Nothobranchius furzeri: one gene and its partner. The protein of the gene in region 1 purifies or fractionates together with the protein of each later gene. This does not show direct contact. Links are inferred from orthologs where the notes say so. Each region holds a gene or a part of one and is shown in the gene's direction. Other genes may lie near its edges.

What was found.
Region 2: the proteins of pld1b (region 1) and arf2b purify together in Homo sapiens (affinity purification with western blotting; 3 studies listed by BioGRID, with this or other methods). This does not show direct contact. The link is inferred for Nothobranchius furzeri from reciprocal best matches to the Homo sapiens genes PLD1 and ARF1.

What each region holds. Positions count from the first base shown.
Region 1 is NC_091747.1:63,395,733-63,400,033, forward strand, and holds the start of pld1b (phospholipase D1), read left to right. Parts: upstream 1-1,268; 5' UTR 1,269-1,340; intron 1,341-1,690; exon of another isoform or gene 1,691-1,785; intron 1,786-4,301. UniProt on the Homo sapiens protein: Function as phospholipase selective for phosphatidylcholine. Implicated as a critical step in numerous cellular pathways, including signal transduction, membrane trafficking, and the regulation of mitosis.
Region 2 is NC_091756.1:54,223,147-54,227,501, forward strand, and holds the start of arf2b (ADP-ribosylation factor 2b), read left to right. Parts: upstream 1-1,280; 5' UTR 1,281-1,409; exon of another isoform or gene 1,410-1,443; intron 1,444-1,636; exon of another isoform or gene 1,637-1,681; intron 1,682-2,534; 5' UTR 2,535-2,544; coding exon 2,545-2,692; intron 2,693-3,633; coding exon 3,634-3,744; intron 3,745-4,355. UniProt on the Homo sapiens protein: Small GTPase involved in protein trafficking between different compartments. Modulates vesicle budding and uncoating within the Golgi complex. In its GTP-bound form, triggers the recruitment of coatomer proteins to the Golgi membrane.

The sequences.
Region 1 (4,301 bases):
GGCTGCAGGAGCAGGAGGAACAGCAGGAGAAGCTGCAGCTCCTACTGTTGCTCCTGGCCCCTTACTGCGGCAGGAGCAGGAGGTGCAGCAGGAGAAGCTGCAGCTCCTACTGTTGCTCCCCTTTGCAGCAGGAGGAACAGCAGGAGAAGCTGCAGCTCCTACTGTTGCTCCTGGCCCCTTACTGCGGCAGGAGCAGGAGGTGCAGCAGGAGAAGCTGCAGCTCCTACTGTTGCTCCCCTTTGCAGCAGGAGCAGGAGGTGCAGCAGGAGAAGCTGCAGCTCCTACTGTTGCTCCCCTTTGCAGCAGGAGGAACAGCAGGAGAAGCTGCAGCTCCTACTGTTGCTCCTGGCCCCTTACTGCTGCAGGAGCAGGAGGAACGGCAGGAGAAGCTGCAGCTCCTGTTGCTCCCCTTTGCAGCAGGAGCAGGAGGTGCAGCAGGAGAAGCTGCAGCTCCTACTGTTGCTCCTGGCCCCTTACTGCGGCAGGAGCAGGAGGTGCAGCAGGAGAAGCTGCAGCTCCTGTTGCTCCCCTTTGCAGCAGGAGCAGGAGGTGCAGCAGGAGAAGCTGCAGCTCCTGTTGGTCCCCTTTGCAGCAGGAGGTGCAGCAGGAGAAGCTGCAGCTCCTGTTGGTCCCCTTTGCAGCAGGAGGTGCAGCAGGAGAAGCTGCAGCTCCTGTTGGTCCCCTTTGCAGCAGGAGGTGCAGCAGGAGAAGCTGCAGTGAAGGGACCAGGAGCAGCAACAGGGTCTGGTTTAACTGTTACTCAACAATTCTCACATTTTAAAGATGTAAGTGAATTATGTCAGAATAAACAGGCTGCTGTGTGATTTTCTGGGTTACTCACAGGAAATCACACAGCAGACTAGTGTTTCTACACAGGAAGTGACTCAACCTTCAAAACAAAAGCCTCACAGTTAGGTTTTAAGCATGTTTGTTTTTAAAAACAACTAAAAATGTCTAAATGTTTCCATTTCCGAATTGAACAGATAATTACCTTTAAAATATAATTATGGCCTGTATTTCATTTTCAAAAAATGATTTCTAATTTTATTTTATTGCACCTAATTTTTATCCTAAAGAGTGGTCTGACACTTTCTTTTATTCTGCTGACCTTTCTGTTAAAATCATCTAATTACAAAACAACTCAGAACGTTGTTATGCCATTTCATTTTCTTTGACTTCAGTGCATTCAGCAGCTGGTTTGTAGCCACCAGACCTCCAGAACAGAAGTATTCTGATTACTCTTCATTTGTCTGCAGAGACGCTCCAGTGCTGAGCAGGAGCCTCATCCTGGAACAGAAAAGGGAGGAGGCCACGCCCTGCTGCTTTAACCATAACAAGAGGTAAATTCAGCATCCTCTCTCGCTCGGACTCTCTGCCAGACGTCACAAGAGTTTAATATAATAACAGACATTTAGCTCTAAATGTTATCTCACAAGGAGGAAGTGTTGGTCTTTGTAACCCCTCACATCTGCTCCATTAAACACACGCCGCTGACGAGTCACTGATGGTTACCATGGTGACCCTAATGAGCCTCTAGTGTGAGTGAAGTCACATGTGTGTATTTTATGTTTTTGTGAGCTAACCCTTTTCTGTTTTTAAACAGGAGTCTTGAATCATTATAAACTTTTTCTCGCGGTCCTTTCTCCTCCCAGATATAGGCTTTTATTTTGAAGGTGAGCCAACCGGATGTAGTGCCCAGGTTTTTTACAGCTGTTTGACATCAATCAGGTGGGTTTGGGTCTCCCGACCAGAGGTGCAGCTGCTGTCGCTTCACATCAGGAGGAGGTGAGTCCCGGTCCGGTTCGATGGTCCGGTCCGGTTCGGTCCGCTTCATGTGTTTGTTTTATCGTGTTGGGGAAGTTAGCTGGAGTTGAGCTGTTTAATGATTGGCTGGTTCGGGTTTATTTAATATTTATTTGCTGTGTGAAGGAATCCTGCTGCAGGGTTCCGGTTCTGGTTCTGGTTCGGTCTCAGGGTTTAATCAGTCTGGTTGTTGGAACCGTCTCCCGGGGGGAGGCGGGTTCTGGAGCTGTTCGTGGGCGGGATGGGAACGGGTCAGACCTGTATGATTGTTCCCCTTTTCTCTGCTCTCCTCTCCGTCCGCGGTGAACTTCCCTCCGACCAGCTCGGGTCAGAACCAGAACCAGCTCCCCACACAGGCTGACCCAGAGCCAGCTCAGCTCGGGTCAGAACCAGAACCAGCGCCTTCTCCTCTGAAATCACTCCTGGTGATGATTCACCTCCAGCAGTAAATCACGCGCAGGCTCCGTGTTCTGGTTCTGGTTCCGTTCATTTGTTGTGAAACTGCTGTTGAAATGTTTCTGACTCAACCAGGAAGTCAGAGAAAATCTTTTCTTCTTCTTTTCTTAAATCTGTGAAAGGAGATTTGATCAGGGTGTTTTAAGCCTCTGCCTCTAACTCAAGGGATGAGCCAGCCAGACGTAAAGAAGATGAAAATATGCAGAACAAAGACTAAATCGGATGAAAGCCCGGTGGGTTGTGCAATCCCACGTTTACATGAAGGAAACGGTTGTTGTGGAAACCTGGAACTCGGCAGGAATATTCAAGCAGCCTAAACATGTCAGCAGCGGTGAAGCTCCTGAAGTTCAGTCATGGTTCTTGGTTTTGCTCCTGCCCTCGAGCTTATCAGGGGCCCATCTGGCCCTCTTTGAACCCCCTCTGGCTCCGCCCCTGGCCCCCCCTCAGAACCATAATTTGGTCTGATTTCTGGAGTCGGCTCAGTCGGGAAACACCGCGATAACTTCTGGATCATCTGGAGGTTCTTTAGTTTCGAAACTTTTAGTTTTGTCCTGTCGTTGCTTCTAGTCACCCTGATCATAGTTCTACAACAGCCTGACAGTCTGGACATCCATGATCCAGAACCACTTTAGGAGATTACCGGAACGCCGTGCTGCTGGGAGGCTGAACAGAGTCTCAGATCAGGAGATCTGCACCTCAGTGGCAACGGGCTAACGGTACTCAGCCAGGCCTGTAAACACGGCCCACAGGATGGGAGTGCTTCATTTACTTTGAGGGTGTGTGTGTGTGTTTGTGCCACACACACACACACACACACACATCCTGATGGGCGATTCCAGCCTTTAATCAATACCAGCAGCAGCTAAATGTCAGGATCCACGAGGCTCTGGAGACGGAGCAGCCTGCAGGCAGGAACCTCACCCACTCTGGAGAACGTTCTGCTCCAATTAGGAAATAACAGGAATGATCCTGGAGACCGTTTGTTCAGTTTCACATCCTGCAGCTTTGGGAGATGTACCCAATATCTGCAACAAGCTGCAGGAGGAGCCTCTAACAATAAGCCCCGCCCCCTCAGGTAAACTCGACTGTAGAAACCTGATCCAGAGTCCAACCGGGACACAGGAAGCTGGACTTTCCATGACTGAATGTTGTTCTGTCTCTGTGATGATGTCATCATATGTCTCACTGCAGTAGAACCCCTAACAGCCACTGGTGGTTGCCATAGTGATGCTATTGAACCACTGGCAGCAGCTTTAACATTTCTGCTCTGGTGCTACCTAAAATGATCTTGTTGTATAAAGGGAAGAGACGAGGCAGAAGTAGACGTATTTAAGCTTCTAAAACCTCATCAAACCGACGTTTTCCTTCGTGTTTCAACAACAGACGGCTCACACGGAGCTTATTTACTCACGGAGGGACTTTTAAACCTGCTGACGATTATCCATATTCATGTTTGTAGTGAACTGAAACCCAGCAGCAGGTTTTAGCAGCAGCAGGAGGAAACTGAAGGTTCCAGCTGCTAAACTCTGGTTTTACATTAAAATAAAAATATTTAAATGATGATAAAATCAGTTAGCACTCAGCTGCTGTGGCTTCATTAGCTGAGGTTATTTCCTGTTTGCATCTGCAGAAATCTGAATGTGGGACTTTTTTTTACTATTTCAACTTCATGGTTAAATTTGGTGCATAAACTATAATTATCCTCTAAAGTGAAACGGTTTAGTCCTAAAGTCTGCAAACGCCTGGATTATTAAACTTTTTCTAAAATGTTTGCTTCAAATAAATCAGTAAAACTTTTATTTTTCTCACAAAGTTACAAAAATGAGAACAAACCTAGGCTTTTATTTTGTTGACACCAATGATGTCTGTACTTAAATATGTTCTGTGTGTGTGTGTGTGTGTGTGTGTGTGTGTGTGTGTGTGTGTGTGTGTGTGTGTGTGTGTGCATGCGCGTATGGGCATGTGTGTGTGTGCGCGCGTGCATGAGCGTATGGGTGTGTGTGTGTGTGTGCGTGTTTTAAATGAAATCTCTGAACATTAAA
Region 2 (4,355 bases), on another chromosome or scaffold:
GTTTGAAGCTGCCATTCCCCCCCCCCCCCCCCCCCCCCCCAATAAAAAGCAAAATGCCATTTTAAGTTGTGGAAAGCAAAAGCTGTTTAGACCTAGAAACTATGACTGGTGTTCAGCAAGGGAACATGACCTAGGGATGAAAGCCAACAGGAGAGGTGAGAATAATTTAGCAGATTTGCCCATGCCACTTTAAAGATATGAGAAACGGAAGGAACCTGACCTTTTGACTGAGATTTTCATTTCCCGACTCCCATGGCAAGAGCAAATCTCGCTCAGAAAATCCTTCAACAGTATTTGGCCTGGAAAATTACTGTGGCCACCCTGAAACCAAGCCAGGTGTTGGGCCCGTGCGAATGCCTGATGGCTGGGCTTAGCATTCTGGTGTCATGGACTTGTCTACTTGTGGACCCACCACCTGCAAGAGGAGCATGATGGGTCTGTGTTGGCCAGACCGAGGTGGTAGCGCTAGCAGTTGGATCCTGAATGTTTGGAACATGGAATGACAAGGAAGGAGCTGGGACTTGTGGAAGAGATTGAGCAGTACTGGCTGGATATAGATGGACACGTTTCTACACAATAGCCTTAGCTCCTGGCGTTGAGCTCTCTTCATCACTGGAGAAAGGCGAAGACCCGATGCGGCTGGTGAACCTCAGACTGTCAACCTGTATGTTGAGGTTTACCCAAGAGAATGAAAGTTTCCTTATGTGCCCAAAAGCAGCTCAGAGTACCTACCCTTTCTGTGTTGAAAATGTCAGCTTGTTGTTTGCTGGCTCTCAAACAGAACAACAAAGAATCATTCATTCTTCCACTTACATGATTTGGACTATTTTTTGACATATATGAAATAAACATTGTACATACCGGTATTTCTCAAAGAATTTCCATTACAAGAAACTTACTAGGGTCTACTTACTAGGGTCTACTTACTAGGGTCTTCTAATGTCAGTTTGAGGTGTTTTATAGTATCTGTTGTGGAGACATTGTTTTTTACTTGATTTTGTTTTTGACATATTTAATTAGATATATGTTTATTACTGTGTAAAGGATTATTGGACTTAACCGTGTGAAATTATTGATGAAAGTTTAGCATTTATAAAAACCGGTATAACAGGTATATTTTGACTATATGTTACATTGGCCTGCCATAAACCTGATTAGAAACTTGAGGCCTGCCATACAACCTGATTAGAAACTTGACCAACTTGTCCGCCTCGCATCACTTCCTCGACATTTTGTGCACTTTTCACACGTCGATCCTCCGCCGCTGTGATTGCTTCGCCGATAGACGGGGGCGGGCTCTCACTTACACCATAGGCGCTATGATTGGCCATAACTTGATAGTGGGAAGCACTCGTAACGCCGGTGTCTCCCTGGTTGCGCAAGACGCCATTTTGGAGTGACAGTAAAAGGTAACGGAAAGATCGAGAAGCTGTGTCGTTAGAGGTAACAAACTTCAGAAACACGCTCATCTCTGTACCCTTAAATAGCCTAACGCGTGGTGGTTGTTACTATATTCAAATGACTCGGTTTGAGTGGCGTTTAACATTACGTGATGGTGTTCGCTTAGCAGTGACGCGGCAATTAGCTAATGGTAGCTAGCGCGCTACATCAGTTCCTGTAACTGGTGATCTAAGATCTGTTACGGCGATTTTTTTCAACGAGCTGAACATCAGTTCCACTGGTACTTGTCAATTATGTCAGCGTTACATTTCTTCATAATGTGTCGCTATGTGTTGTTTAAAACATTTGTTGGATGAATAGTTGTCCACAATCGGCTAGCTGAAGCATCCGCCCTTAGTGAAGCTAATAGCGCTTAGCTGAAGCTAACATCCAAAGCTACCCGTTGCGTTATAATTTGTAATACAGGATTTTTCTGTTATTATTTTTCTCTTAAACACTCATCAAACCTCTGTTAGATTAAGTTGGATTGGATGTCGAGCTGCTGTTTACTTTCACGCACAATAACACTTTGCCCAACCGGAGTTTCCCATCTGGAGCAGGCCTAATCAAGGGTTAGTTAGCTGTTAGGCTAATCCGGGTGAACGAGATGGTTGGATCAGGTGATCAAGTCTGATGAATTAAGATTAATTTTTCAGAGTTTTGTTTTCTTAAAAGTTAATTGAGGAACACATGGATTGAATATTTTAGTGTTTACCCAAAAGCTAAAACTCGAATATATTTAACGCGAACTCAACTTTTCTTTTTACCCTGACTCAGTTGAAAACGGTTCCTAGTTTCACCATTAACCTTTGTCTCCCAACTTCTATAGAACACATTTCTGTATGTACCTGTCATTTCCATATTGGCTGTATTGCCTTTTGTGAAATGCCTTCTGGAGTCTTTCTGTTTGACTTAAAACTTATGTTCCTAATGATGCTCCCTCTTCTGGTGCTGCAAAAAACTAACAGCCTTACATTTAAAGTGTTGTTTAGAATGTTGGATTGGATAATTAGATTTTATTTAAGATAAGTTTACTACATTTCATCCTTTTCTACCTATGTGTCACCCTGTTTAACAGTTTCCGTTTCTTACAGCTTTGTCACCATGGGGAATGTATTTGCAAGCTTATTCAAGGGCCTGTTTGGCAAAAAAGAGATGAGAATTCTGATGGTTGGGCTCGATGCTGCTGGGAAAACAACAATCTTGTATAAACTGAAGCTTGGAGAAATAGTCACCACCATTCCAACCATTGGTACGGATTTATTTATTCATGTCAGTAGTAGGGGTAGAGCATTATGTTGGGCTGTTATTTACCATTTTTATACATCAATAGATTTATATTTGTAAGGCCAATTTATAGTCAAGCACATCCTCTGGTAACATCTTTGTTCTTGCTGTGTAGTATTTCTAATTCCATGTTGTAGTTCTTTTTAAAACGCAGAGTAGTTTTGTGTTCCTGTTTTCCCGCTACGTTTCGTTTGCAGCTGCAAACTGCGTCGAAGTTTGCAGCCGCAAACGAAACGTAGCGGGAAAACAGGTAAACAAAACTACTCTGTGTTTAAAAAGAACTACAACATGGACAACCTCTGGTAGCTCGGTGCTGTTGCAGAATTTAATTTAAATGTATTTTTACATTTGCTGATAACATCAGCATAATATGTACTCTAAATTAACTTTATTTAGTTGTCTGACTTTAACACTGAACCATGCACAAAGTTGATATTTAACAGCTAGTTAAATTCAGTAAAATTAGATGGAAAATGTCTGGATATAGGCCATGAAAATGCCAATAAAAATCAGCAGTACGTGTCAGCTGTCGGCAGATCATGTCTCCTACATACTGGCATTGGTATCAGCAATAGAAAAACCATTATTGGTCAACCTCTTGTCAGTAGTGTTGGTTATTCTTCTTGTTGGAAGGCTGCTTATCTTCAGGCTTTTATGTTATAAGGATTATTTTTGTACCAAATATAATTTTAGATAATTGTGGACCAACTGATGAGTTAGAGTTTTTCAGAAGAATAACTGTCTTAAAATACCTGCACAGATTTTGGGTCATTTTTCTAATGTTCAACCTTCAGAGACGAATGTTAGCTCCTCAACCCTGTCTTGTCTGTACACACACTGTTGGTAAATTGTGAACACTTTTTAAAATTGTTGATGCCTCACCATCTTTCCTTCTCTGGTGTGCAGGCTTTAACGTTGAAACGGTAGAATACAAGAACATCAGCTTCACAGTTTGGGATGTGGGCGGTCAGGATAAAATCAGGCCGCTGTGGCGCCACTACTTCCAGAACACTCAAGGTGAGAGGGTGTACTATATTTCAGCTGGCTGTATGTTGCTGAGCATTACTGCCCATAGGTTGCTTCATTGGTGTGTGTATGAGTTTCAAACCAGTGACTCATGGAGCTTCATTCTGTTCTTGGCGTGAAGTGGGTCTCCTGTCCAGTGATGGCACTGATCAGAAAACAGCACTGTAGAGCAGAAATGCTTAGTTTTTCCTTCCAATTTTGTCAGCTGTGTGTGAGTGAGCTCTTTGTCTTGAGTGTAACGTTGAATATGTTGATGATGTCAAAAGTGTCACTTAAGAGAATGAGTTTCAAACAGATCGCAACGTTGAATTACAGCTCCGGTAATAATTTTATATGTAGACAGAAGATTTGGTCCTAATTCTGATTTCACCTGTTGAAAAGTTGCTGCTTGCTGCAGTCTTGTTAAGATAATAAATCGGAGGCAGGCTGTGGACGTGGCTGCCATGAAAAGACTGAGTCATGCATCTTTGTGTTTTTATCTGTTTTTGCTCTCAGCTGAAGGTCAACACAGCCAGCCAGCCGCTGGTACTTAAGCTGCATTAATGAGCTCCAGCTACTGTACAGGCCAAGCTTCCAATAAGACTTCCACTGGAGGGTTGAAA